2 linked regions of the Chlamydomonas reinhardtii genome follow. The protein of the gene in region 2 interacts with the protein of the main gene of each other region in a pairwise test. Links are inferred from orthologs where the notes say so. Each region holds a gene or a part of one and is shown on either strand. Other genes may lie near its edges.

The links.
Region 1: the proteins of CHLRE_14g612500v5 (region 2) and CHLRE_01g016950v5 interact in binary tests that used the Arabidopsis thaliana proteins (3 or more experiments, as listed by UniProt). The link is inferred for Chlamydomonas reinhardtii from reciprocal best matches to the Arabidopsis thaliana genes ERA1 and FTA.

Annotation. Positions count from the first base shown.
Region 1 is NC_057004.1:2,828,850-2,835,113, reverse strand, and holds CHLRE_01g016950v5 (uncharacterized protein), read left to right. Parts: upstream 1-2,191; 5' UTR 2,192-2,290; intron 2,291-2,415; 5' UTR 2,416-2,457; intron 2,458-2,611; 5' UTR 2,612-2,672; intron 2,673-2,953; 5' UTR 2,954-3,122; coding exon 3,123-3,379; intron 3,380-3,691; coding exon 3,692-3,818; intron 3,819-4,000; coding exon 4,001-4,105; intron 4,106-4,344; coding exon 4,345-4,511; intron 4,512-4,709; coding exon 4,710-5,064; intron 5,065-5,433; coding exon 5,434-5,550; 3' UTR 5,551-5,707; downstream 5,708-6,264. Other genes in the region: CHLRE_01g017050v5 (uncharacterized protein), read right to left, coding at 164-241, 481-630, 1,053-1,142, 1,287-1,472; CHLRE_01g016900v5 (uncharacterized protein), read left to right, coding at 5,843-5,975. UniProt on the Arabidopsis thaliana protein: Essential subunit of both the farnesyltransferase and the geranylgeranyltransferase complex.
Region 2 is NC_057017.1:682,050-688,457, reverse strand, and holds the start of CHLRE_14g612500v5 (uncharacterized protein), read right to left. Parts: upstream 4,263-6,408; 5' UTR 4,196-4,262; coding exon 3,691-4,195; intron 3,321-3,690; coding exon 3,196-3,320; intron 2,884-3,195; coding exon 2,728-2,883; intron 2,481-2,727; coding exon 2,422-2,480; intron 2,170-2,421; coding exon 2,103-2,169; intron 1,903-2,102; coding exon 1,822-1,902; intron 1,591-1,821; coding exon 1,420-1,590; intron 1,101-1,419; coding exon 1,008-1,100; intron 596-1,007; coding exon 450-595; intron 291-449; coding exon 1-290. Other genes in the region: CHLRE_14g612450v5 (uncharacterized protein), read right to left, coding at 5,277-5,420, 5,600-5,614, 5,835-5,969, 6,172-6,317. UniProt on the Arabidopsis thaliana protein: Catalyzes the transfer of a farnesyl moiety from farnesyl diphosphate to a cysteine at the fourth position from the C-terminus of several proteins having the C-terminal sequence Cys-aliphatic-aliphatic-X (CaaX).

The sequences.
Region 1 (6,264 bases), on a different chromosome or scaffold from region 2:
CCGTGTGTGTGAGAGCGCACACGCCGCATGTGCCGGGTCCATCACATCAGCTGGCTGTTTCTCGCACCAGCCCAACAGCCCCCAGCCCAACAGCCCCCAGCCCCTGCCCAACAGTTCCCCGCCCCCGCCCCGCCCCAGCCCCGCCCACGCACTCGGCACTCACCAAGCCGCGCACGAGCGACGAGGCGCCGTAGGTCTGCATGAAGTGGGACGTCTCCGCGGACAGCGATCTCCCACTTTTCTGAGGAGCGGGGCGGAGCGGACCCGGGCACAGCGGGCGAATGCGTGAGGCCATGAGCGGCGGCATGCGACCTACTGGCCGCACCCTGCAGTGCCACCCGCTGTACATGATGCGCCACCTCGCTTCCTGAACTACCGCATGCAGGCCCCCGCCCCTGCCACCCACACCTACCGCTGCCCCCGCCACCTCCTCCTGCTCCTCCTCCTCCTCGTGCCTCCTCCCCCTGCCCCCCAAATCACCTGCTGCTGGATGATGATGAGCTCCGAGGGCGAGGCGATGAAGGCCGACACCGCGCCCGCCACGCCCGCGCTGCCGAACCGCTCCAGCGGCGTGAGGTCGGCCTCCGACTTGTTGAGCACCACAGTCTGCATCAGCCGGTTGGTGCCGAACTGCGCGACACACAACACACAACACACGAGACGTGTGCGCACAAACACACCGGGGAGGAGGGGTTCAATGTTGCAACAGCGCAGCGTTTTAGGGGTGGCGGCGGGTTCGGCCAGCCACTGCTTGTGTACCGGCATGTGCACACCCACACGACCCCGACGAGTGTCCGCAGCGCCTGGAGCGCGTGCTGGGGACTGGCGGCTGCGCGACGCGCTGTTCAGCTGGTATGGCGGTGGGCATGCAGTCACAGCCGTACCTACACACACACACACACACACACACACACACACACACACACACACACACACACACACACACACACACACACACACACACACACACACACACACACACACACATACATACACTCCCACCCTCACTCTCGCACACCCACACTCCGTCACACCCAATCACACGCGCGCACCTGTGACGCGGTGATGGGCGCCATGGACACGATGTTCATCAGCAGGCCGCGGTACAGGTGCGCCGGGTGGCGCGGGATGGGCCGGCCCTCCTGCGCGGGGCCGCGGGGAAGCAGCGAGAGGGAGCGAGAGGGGGAGAGAGGGGGAGTGTCGAGGTCGGGAGCCAGATAATACGATTTCCCTATCTTTTTGCTCTTGTTGTCGCGCGCTGATAATGCACACACACGCGCGCGCACCTGCAGCGCGTTCTTGATGCCCACCAGCGGCTGCATGATGCAGACCTCCACGGTGCCGCCCAGCGCCCCGATGGCAGTGTGCTCGGCCGGCGTCACCGTGGACGGCCGCGTCGGCTGGTGCTGGTGCGGCCGCTGCGGCGGCATCAGCTCTTGTGGTGGTTGCTGTTTTTGTGCTGAGGCTGACATGGTTGTGTGCCGGCTGCGGCAACAACGGGCCCGGTCGGCGGGATACCCGGTGCGCCTGGCTGCTGTGACTTAGACGGCTGGGGACGGAGCGAGGCAGGCAAAGACCTTGGCGTTCGCTCGTGGAGGTGCTGCACAAACCTGTGGGGGCAGCAAGGATGCACGGCCAGCGTTGAGCTTGGACGCGTCCGGCCGTCAACGTTCCGCCCGAGTCCCAGTCGGCGGGCGGACGTGGCAGCGAGTGCACTGTAGTGCCGACTGACGCGGAGCTGGCGTCATGCTCTGCCGGAACCTCACACGGCGATAGCACTGGTCGGCTAGCATACACCGACGCGCGGTCGCCCGTGGCGCGGAAGCCCGCATTGCACGGTTGCCCGCCCGGCGACGACTCCCCCGCCAAACAAAGCAACAGACGCCTGAATGCAATTTTGTATTGTCGCTAACACACCTTACCTTGATCACGCCTTCGCCGTCGCAGAACTGGCCTTGTTGCAGGTGCGTGTAAAACGTGTTCGGAGGAAAAGTTGCAAGCAAAGGCTCAGACCCGTTGATTGAACTAGGCTACAAAGAAACTCAAGATACACGGGAGCTAGTTGTCCTGGCTTTTCGTCGCTCGAATTTTGGCTCCGGCATGGGCTGAGTGGATTCAGCTGGTTTCTCAAATCGAGGCCTGACGAAGCCGAAACTCTTGCATTCAGCATTACCTTGCTCCAAAACCGTAATTAAGTGCTTTGAGGCCTGAATGTCGCAGCCGGGCGCCAGAGCGCCACAGTACGCAGCTTACTTTACGCCCACCGCAGTGGCTCCCGTTCCTGGCAAGAGTGAGGAACTTGCACTGCGACTTCTGAAGCGCATCTAGGAGGTTGACGTCAGGGTGCTCCGGAATCACGTCGCGCCCGGGGCAGCCCACTAACACACCCCTTCCTCTCTGCGGTGGCCCCCACAGACCTGTTTGCCGGCACGCAGCAGCCCTCTGCGCACCTGAAAGGTGCAGAAGAGCAGACGTAAACGCCTTGCGGGGTTGCTTCTGGCATCTCCCGCCTTGCTGCAAGAGTCGAGGGGTTGGAGAAGAGGGCGGGGGCGCCGGCGTCCGCGGGATGGCGCCGCCCTCACCAACCGCCCTACCGCCTAAATGCATGCAGAGCTTGTGGCCGAGAACGTTAAGAAGCTCGCGGAGCTGCGGGCGGAGATTAAGAAGGACGAGTAAGTGCTCGGGCACTGCCGGAGCCGCTGCGGCAGCAGTCCAGACTTGGGGCTGTGGCGGCCAGCGGGGCTTTGATGGGAATGTGCCGCTGCGCCGTGTCCTGATGCGCAGTCCTGATGACTGCTGCAGCTGCTGCCATTGTACTTGAACTTTCTTGTTGCTGTCAAGAACATCAGTTTGCGCGTGTCGACAGCTCCGCTCCACCCGCCCTCCGCCATGCGCTCTCATCCCGACCTGCAACCTTCGCGCACCCTGCGCCACCTGACCGTTGCGGGTGCAGCTGGCTGTTTGAGGCGCCGCGCCACACACTGCGATAGGGGCAGGCCCTCACCTTCAACGCAGCCGCCGCTCACGCAGCGCCGCACCTAGCAGCAGCGGGTCAGCACACGCGGACGGCAAGCACGCCTTAGCCGCACAGCCAGCCAAACAGCTTGACAGCACTTGCTCGCATGTCGGGGGGAGGCGCAGCCGCCGCCGCCGCCGGCCCGCTGCCGTACTCCCGGCGGCCGGAGTGGGCGGACGTGACGCCGGTGTCGCTGCCGGCTGCGGAGAAGGTGGTGGCCATCCAGTACACGGCCGAGCACGCCGAGGCGCTGGGGTACTGGCGCGCGGTGCTGCAGTCCGGCGAGCTGAGCGGCCGCGTGCTGGCGCTGACCGCCGACATGATCCGACTCAACCAGGCCGACTACACCGCGTGGCGCGTCAGGTGCGTGCGTGTGCGTGTGTGTGCGTTCGTGTGTGTGCGTGTGCGTGTGCGTGTGCGTGTGCGTGTGCGTGTATGTGTATGTGTTTTCTTTCTTCATGCCAGCGTACACATAGCCAGTGCGCATCCAAGCAAGTGGGTGTGGTTTACCACTTTCCGTGGGAGCGGGCCGAAAGTAAAGGAGTTTATGTTCAGGAGGAAAGCAGAGGGGTGGTGGGTGGCGGGGCGGGGCGGGTTTATGCTTCGGTCCATACTCTGTGCTTGTGTTCTTCTGGCTCCCCCTCCTCCACCTCCCGCGTCGCCCCATCCGCCCAGGTGGCTGTGTGTGCAGCAGCTGGGTGCTGATGCGTTAGGCCCGGAGCTGGACTTCACGCACGGGGTGATGCTGGAGAACGCCAAGAACTACCAGCTGTGGAACCACAGGAGGCTGGTGGCGGGCGCGGTGAGGGAGGAGGGAGGGAGGCAGGGAGGGAGGGAGGGCTGGAGGCAGGCAGCAGTAGCGAGTCTTGCGCGGGAGGGATTAAGGAAAGGAGTGGGTAGTTTCAGGATCAAGTGAATGTGGTGGGAGAGGTGAGGCCCCTCAGTGAGGCCCCTCCCTGTTGGCCTGGTCGCATCCCGTCGTAGATCGGCCCCAGCTGCGCCGCGCGTGAGGACGCCTTCACGCGTGAGGCCATCATCTTTGACGAGAAGAACTACCACGCCTGGGCGCACAGGCAGGCCGTCGTCAAGGTGCGGCGGCGGCAGGAGCGGGGGCAGGGGCAGGAGGAGGGGGAGGGGAGAGGAGAGTGCAGAGGTAGGGGAGGGGGCCTGGCACGAAGGCCTGCAAGGCCTGGCAAGGCAGGGCAGGGCAACTATCCTAAAACATACCAGCCACGTTGCTTTTTCACCACCTTGCAGGCCATTTACTTTGTGCCCCTGGCCCTGTCCAATCAATCTCCGCCACCCTGCCCCCCCTTGCTCATGCCCAGATCACGGGGCTGTGGGAGGCGGAGCTGGCCTTTGCGGACGAGTTCATCGGGCGGGACGTGCGCAACAACACCGCCTGGAACCAGCGCATGTTCGTGTGGAAGGCCATGGGCCAGGAGGCGCGGCTGAGGCTCCAGGGTGGAGGCGACGACGCAGGCTGGCTGCGCAGGTGGGGCGGGCGGGGGCGTGTGGCATGGGGCGAGGGGCGAGGCGAGGGTTGTTTCACCATCTTCTGACCCGCACGCCCCTCAGTCGCCCCATGCCTCGCTCTCATACTTAACCACCACCTCGCTTGTTTCCTGCCCCCGCCTCCTGCCCAACCCCAACCCCCAACCCCCACCCCAACCCGCTGACCCCCACCCCACAGCGAGCTGGAGTACATTGCGGCGGCCGTACAGAAGGCGCCGCGCAACGAGTCGCCCTGGCGCTACCTCACCGGCCTCTTCGCCTCGCTGGAGCCCTGGGCCAGCAGCCCCCGCTCGCTGTCGCGCTGCGCCGAGGTCCACACGCTGTGCTGCGAGGCGCTGAACGACTGCCCCTCCTGCGGCCCCGCCTACGACGTGTTGGCGCTGTTCTATGAGGGGCAGGCGGCGCTGTCGGCGGCGCAGGCGGACACGGCGGCGGCGGCGGCGACGGTGGCGCCGGGGCCGGCGCAGGCGGGCGTGCAGGTGGTGCTGGCGGGGCGCGTGGCGGCGACGATCATGGCATGCGAGTTGGCGCAGGTGGGCGTGGGCGGCTGCGGTGGGGATGAGAGCGCATGGAGGGGCATGGTGGATGACTCTCCCGGGTATGATGAGTGCGTGGGTAACAATCATGGGCGGGAGGTAATGGTGACGGGGCTCATTTAGGAGGCGGGGGTTTGTTGGCGAGGACCGAGGTCACACATGGTTGCTGTTACCGTGGTGGGGTTTACCCTGCTGCAGTACGTGTGGCAGCGCAATACATCGGCAGCGAAGGGACTGCGATAAGCACACGCGAGAGCCCCACACGCCGTGTGACGCGCCGTTCGATCGGCATCTTCTTCTCAATGACTGTCCCAAGCCCGCTCACCTGCACCTGCTGTGGACATTGCTGCTGCCGCCATCATGCAGGCGGCGCTGGACGAGGCGAGTGTGGCCGACCCCATGCGCACACCGTACTGGCTCCACCGCCAGCGCGGATTTAACGATGTGGTGGCCTTAGCCACAGGCGTGCTGCGTTCAGCATGATGGTGCAAGGGCCAGGGGAGCTTGTGGCATGGGGCTCTTGGATGGTAATTGTTGGAGGCAGGTGGTGGAAGTAGGATGGAGAGCGAGAGGGGCGGCGCGGCGCGAAGGAGGGGCAAGCGGGCAGCCGCGGAGGACGTGTGGACCTCATGGGGGATGGCACGGCCACAACCTCCAATCCAATGCCGGGCTTGACACTCGTTTGGTGCGACGTAACTTGTAACAGAGCGGTTGCTTACATACAGTTACTACACTTGATTTGCTTGTTGCTCGCACTTGCTCAACCGATACAAGGATGCAGTCGCTCCGTGTTACCCCCAAGGCCCCTCGCGCCTTCACCAGCAGCGGCCGTCGCTCGGCTGTCAAGTGCCAGGCGTCCATTGTGGAGAAGGCCAAGGCCACTGCTGCCGCTGTGATCCTGTCCGCGGGTGCGTGCATGCAAGCGCAATTTGGCCTGTCGCGTGCAAGCATACCGCATGAGCGCTTGCGCACCTGTCTTGTCTTGTAGAAAGGATATAAATCGCATAACATGCTTGATAACACCGAAGCCCCACACAGCGTCTCCCGTATGACGGAAGTGCTGCCACTCGCCAGTTCCTGGGCCAGCTCACCCACCAACCCGACCGACTTGGTGTCCTTACGACCACGCGGCGTGGCTACGGCGTGCCCCCGCTTGTCGGGCTGTCCCTTCACTTTTAATCCGCATCCTTACAACCA
Region 2 (6,408 bases):
GCTCCGGGCCGCCTGCGCCCCCAGCCGCCCCTCCCGCACCCGCGCCGGCCGCCTCCAGCGGCGGCAGCGGCCGTGCCGCGTAGTGTGCCCGCGCCGCCGTCAGCTTGTCATCCACCACGTTGACAGCAGGGTCGGCGCGCGCCAGCAGGTTGGCCTCGCGCGGTCCCAGCACGGCGGCGCCGGGCGCGTGCTGCGCCGCCGCCAGGCCGCTGAGGCAGTAGCAGGTGTGATAGAAGTCCACGGGCTTGCCGGGCTTGTCGCGCAGGCCGCCCTTGGTGGCCTGGCAGCACCTGTGTGTTAAAGAAAGGAAATAACAGTGGGTACGTGTATGCTAAGAAAACAACAATGCGAAGTGCATGTGCGTGTGTGTTTGTGTTCGGAGGACAAGGGGATTCAAAAGCAAAGGGTGAAAAATAGCTCCCACTGGCCCATGCCTCCCGCCCACTCACTTGAGGATCCATAGCTGCAGCGCTTCGTAGTTGCACAGCGGCGGCGGCGGCGCGGGTGGCGGCGGCGCCGTGCCCTCGGGCAGTTGTGGCGGCGCGCCTGCCGCCACTGCGGCCGCGTAGGCAACGTGAGCGGCGTACTGCTGCTCCTGCGTGTCAAGGAGCACACAGAGGAGTGAAGCGTAAAGACCATGCATGTCGGTCAATGCTTCTGTGTTGGGAAATGCAAGAGGGGAGAGGGTCGACACTGCGCGCGTGCGCACGAATTGCACAGGGCGTGCGGAAACTGCAAGCTAACGTTAGCCAAGGAGTTAAGCTGCACGTCTGAGGCGGCTTGGGGGAACGTATCAGGTGGCCATTGCCACCACGCTTTGCCACTACCCCCTGAACTCATGCACTAACCCGCACAACACATGTAAGGTGTTTCGCCACGCCATTTACGTCGTCCCGTTTAACGAGCACAGGCACACATCCGCACGTTCCCGTTCAACCATGTGCTCTCAAAAAGTACACGCACATCGCACACATTCCTAAGCGCTTTGACCTGCCCATGCCGCCCACCTGCGCGGTGAGCATCTCTGGGTCGGGCGGCGGGAAGATGTTGAAGGCGGACACGTTGATGCACGCCATCTGGGTGGTGGCAGCCTCGCCCGCCTGACAGGGCAGCAGGTGAGGCGTGGGGCAGCGGGCAGTGGGCATGGGGCGCAGCAGCAGTCAGCAGGGGGGGCGGCACCAGGCATCATGCACCACGCAAGCGGCTGGTGACGCGTGACACGAAAGGTTAAAGGCCCCGGCGTGGCGTGACGCGACGAGAGCTTGACTGAAGACCGGAATGCTTCGCGGCGCAACAACAACAACAAGAACAACAACACGGCGTTGCTGATGATGAATGAAAGCCCCTGTGCGGCGTCCTTCTGCAACACACACCACAATGCGCTTCTCTTGCGCTTTACTCGGACACACGAACACCCACCTCGTGCGCCTTGGCTGCCTGGTCCAGCAGCTCCCGCGCCGCCCGCGCCTTGTCCGCGCTGTGCCGCGCTGCCGCACCCTTGAGCGCGCCGTCCGCCACGTCGCTCGCCTCCAGCGCCCGCGCACGCAGGGTTTCGTAGGCGTGCATGCGCCCGTGCATCTCCTCCTCGGCCTGCAGGTGGCGGGGTTGGCGGAGGCGTGTGTATGCGTGTTGTTGTAAATATCCAGTACCAGCAGGGCGTTTGCGTTTGCATGTGTGTGGTCAGGGCAGGATTTGCGGCTAAGGCTATTGCCCATTGCTGCCTACCAACACAACCGTGACACCCACTCAAGACGCGCAAGCAAGACACGCCCAACTCACACACACACACTGTGCATGACGCGACTGCGCACGCGGCCTCACCAGCTCAAAGGGCGGCGACGCACCCATCATTGGCGCCGGCAGCACCTGCACCTCCGGCCAACCTGCGGAGTCCTGCGGCACCTGCAGCAAGCAGGCGGACGCACGCATACACACACAAGACACACACGCATGTAACATTGTGCAGCTAACCAAGCTTGGAGGTGGGGTTGTTTTGAGAGGAACGCACACAGAGTTCTGCACTGTCGCCCGCATTACCCGCGCGCCCACAGCCGCCTTTCCCCGCCCCGTCTGCCTGCCTTCAATGTTGACACCCAACTCACCGGCGGCGGGCGCAGCGCTGATGGCGAAAGCATAGCCAGCAGTGGGAACACGCCGCCCTGCCAGAAGCTGCAGCCGCCAAAATAAAATCACAGTACCAGCATCACAGAATGTCCAACAGCCACCAACTGCCTTTTCATGCATGTGTTCGCCTCTGTTGCAGGGTGCTGCCTACACCAGGACCGCTTGTAAGGCGCCATTGTGCCTCTCCCCGTGCCCCCCGCTTGCCCCGTGTCACCTCTCTCACGTTGGCATTGGACCAACTACTCATGGCAACAACTCCCGCGGCCGCGCTCGGCCCCCGTGTCCACCCCCACGCACCTGTAGCAGCCGTCGACCAGCTTGTTGGTGCGGCCATTGAAGCCACCCTCCATGGAGCCCTGGGGGCGCGGGGGATGGGGGAGAAAGCGGCAGAGGGAGGCAGTGTGTGTGTGTGTGGGGGGGGGGAATTAAGAAGTGAAGGCGTAGTCAGGTACAGTAGTATAGCAGACGCGTTGTGTGTGTGTGGGGGGGGGGGGGCGGCAGGGCCCGTCAGCTACGCCACCCGCATCTCGTATTACGTACTGAGAATAAAGACAACCCCACCCCCACCAACCTCAAACCTCCACCGACCGCCCACGCCCCCACCTGGCGGTGCACCAGCCAGTGTAGCAGGCGCGGCACGTCCAGCGTCGCCGCCAGCAGCCCCGGCCCGCCCGCCAGCACCAACGCCGCCACGCCGCAAAAGGTGTAGCCGCCGTGCGCCTCGTTGCCCGGCTCACCGCCCAGCCCACCCTCGTAGGTCTGGTGGTGGCAATGGAGGGCAGTGTGCGCGGTGTGACGGTGCCACGCAATCCCCAAAGAGCGCAGCTGTCAACTGGAATCATCTCCCCCGGCACCGCCACTCCGGCACTGCCCGGTGCCGCGGGCCGCCAATGCCAAAGCGCGTGCTCGCATGCAGCCGCACCCCATTCCTCCCACCTTCCAGCTCCCACTGCCTGCGTTCCGCCCCGCCCCGCCCCCTCCCCTTCCATGCCCCCGCCTCTTCATTCCGGCTCTAAAATCTTGACTACCTGTGCACCTCAACCCGCTCCTCCTCCCCAAACACACACGCACCTGGCACGCGCGGACGTACCCCGCCAGCCCGCTGCGCGCCGCCAGCTGTTGCTTGTCCGCGTCCAGCCCCAGCATGTGCGCCACCGCCATTGCCGTGTAGCAGGCGCGCAGGTCGCCCTCGCCGCCTGGAGAGCGAGAGCGAGAGCGAGAGGGAGAGGGAGAGGGAGAGAGCACGGGCCACGGGGAAGAGGGAGGGGAAGCGGGAGCAGAACAGGGCAGGGCAGCACAGGGTAAGGCCGCGTGCGTGGAATGGGCGGGATGGTTTGAAGGACTGACAAAGCATGGGTCTGGAAAGACGTGCATGGAGGGCTGGCGGGCGCGGGTTTCACAGGGGAGATGAGAAGGTGGGCGGGTCGTGTGAGGCAGCGGGTGGGCTGATCATGACCTGGGTGATGCGCTGGTGACCCATGGGCGACTGGAACACAAGGTTTGCCCATCCAGCCTGGCCAGCCAGCCCCTCCGATCCACCCCAATGCCTCCCACTTGATCGCTTACCCTCGTGCACGCTAAAGCCGCCTCCCTGCTCTGGAGGGATGCACATCCGCAGCAGGAAGCTGCGCACGGCCGCGCGGTCTATGGACCCCAGCGCCTTCCCGCCTACAGTCACCGCGGCCGCGACAGCTGCGTAGGTGGGCGCCAGATGCGCCAGCTGCATCGGCCCGCCACCATAACCTCCCGCCGGATGCTGGCAGCTTTGTAGGAAGGCGACAATATCGTCCGCCGTCACATCTTTCGGAAGCGGGGCCCCCAGCAGTGCCAGCGAATGGACCAGCCAGTATACAATCCATGTCCGGCTCGCATCCAGCACCGCAAAGCCAGAGCTCAGCTGGCCAAGCCCGCTGTGCAGGTAAGCGACGTGGTTTTCGCGATGCAGAACCAAAAAGTCATGTATCTCCTCAGCGTCCTGGATTCCTTCTAGGTCCTGGTAAAAGGGCAGCAGCTTTTTCTCAAGCGCATTTTGTGTTTTCGAGGTTGTCGTGGGCAGCCCGTCCTCCCACATCGTTCTTGGCTTCTGACAAGATAATACTACAGTTCTTTACCTACATTTACACAGCAGAAACGAGTCCTGCAAGTCCGTGGCTGTCGGAGTTGCCTAACCTGTAAAATGGCAGCTCTGCCGCGTTTCATTCCCGTGCGTGGCCCCGGCGTGTGCCGGTCCTGCCTGCTTTGCCCGCCGCCACCACGATCACGTCACTCCTCGTAGACAATGAAAGCCACAGTTGAACCCGTAGGGTGCACGCGCGGGCTGTGCATGGCTGGCGGCCTGGCGCCATGTCACCCTGACCTCCCCTGTCCCTAACAGGGTGTGTGATGGGACAGGGTTCAAGGCAGGTTGGCGAGGTCCCACCACATATCCGCAATGCGTTGGAAGGAGTTCGAACCCGGAGGGTCCCTACTTGGAGCACGGTAGTCCAATAGTCGAGATCAGGGTGGAAAGCGTCACCATTCAGGATGCACTGAGATGCACGCCGGTTGGCGTTGCCTCGTTGGGCACCTTTGCCAGGCTTTGGGATTGGCATTGCCAGCCGGTGCCTACGGTATCTAACGCCAGCATGCAGACTCCAGACATCGGCTTTGTATTTGTCAATTTACAGGGTAACCCCGACGCCAGCGCACTGCGACGCCTCTCACCCTCTCAGTCTACACCTGACACCACCTTGCCTTGCACACTTGAACCACGCACGAAATCCTCCAGTCACCCACCTTACATGACTCATGTCCCAGACACAACCCCTCGGCTCACATCCCAAAATTGCCGGGCTAGGGTCTTGCCTGCCACCGCCTACCACCTGCGAAGCAGTCTGTCATGCAAACATGCCGACTCTCCGCCTCAACCTACCGCAACCGGTAGTCAAGAGACGCCGGTCCTAACCACGTGCTGGCCCTTAGGTTCTGAGAGCCCATGGTAAACCGACCCGTGCTGCACTCAGGCGCGGAACGAGCCAACGCACAACGCCTGTCAAGCTCGCCTCCGGCTGCGGCTGCTGCCAGCTGTGCAGCGCCATTGGCTAACCGTGTCCTTCAGATCTGCGCAAACGCCGGCCTGGCCATGCGTGTATACTCGCAAGCGCTTGAGGCGCTTACTTCTTCTTGCCAGCAGCGGCAGCGGCGGGCTTCGCCTTGGGCACGCGCTCCTCGAACATGCCCTTCGCCTTCAGGTTGTCAATCCGCTTCTTCAGCTTCTCCTTCTCGTAGTCCATGCCCTTGGCGGCCATGTCCGCGACCTGGCATTTGATAAAGAGACAGCAGCAGAAATGCCTTTGTGAACCAGGCCCCGGTAAGGCAGAGCCCGACGCCACCGCGTAATGCGCTGCAGCCACGCCATTTCCCCGCATTGTGAGCCTAAGAGCATGAGCAACCAACACTGCAAAGCCCAACGCTGTGTCCCGCCACGCAAACTCACCAGGGCTTTGTGCGCCTGTGGCCAATCGTAGCCACGACGAGCATGCAGCGCAACGGGTGGAAGGGCAGAACCGTAAGCGCCGGCATTGCAGGAACCCTCAACTACTCAGCTTAGAGCTGGACAGCACGCCTCCAAGCTGCGTGGTGCAGCATCAAACCCTCCTGCCCGAATCCTGGCTCAAGCCCAGTCAGAACCTGTGTCACTTGCCCAGTTCGCATTCCGGCACCCTGCCCACCTTCTTGGTCCACTTGGTCTTAGCGGCCAGCACCTCGGCCTTGCCGCCGGCAGCCTCAATGGCAGCCTTGGCAGACTCCGAGAAAGCGGTGGCGTGCACGTTCAGCGACTTGCTCAGGCTGCCAGTGCCCAGCACCTGATGCAACGATGCAGCGAATGAGAGCACGATGTGAGCACGAACCCTGCTTGACGAGGTCTTCAAATGAAGAAATTCCCGTATGCATGTCCCGCGATCCCAGTGTTGCCTGTCCAGCACCTAAAGGCTCGCAACCTGACGCCTGCGTTGTACATGGCCCACCGCCAGTCAGCCCCTTTGTGCCTAGGCCAAGTACGCTTACCTTCAGGGGTAGGGAGGCATCGCGGCCGCTGATGCTCTTCACCTTCTCCTTCACGGCAGCCAGGGTCACGTCCTCGCCAGCGTTGAAGTGCTTCTCCAGGTCATCCAGGTTCACCACCACGAAGTCGGGCAGGCCAGCGCTCATGCCTGTTGAAGCGCCAACACAGGACACCGCAGCAGTCAGTCCCCACGTACACGCGACCTATTCCCGTGGACCCGGAGCAGGCCAGGCCTGCTC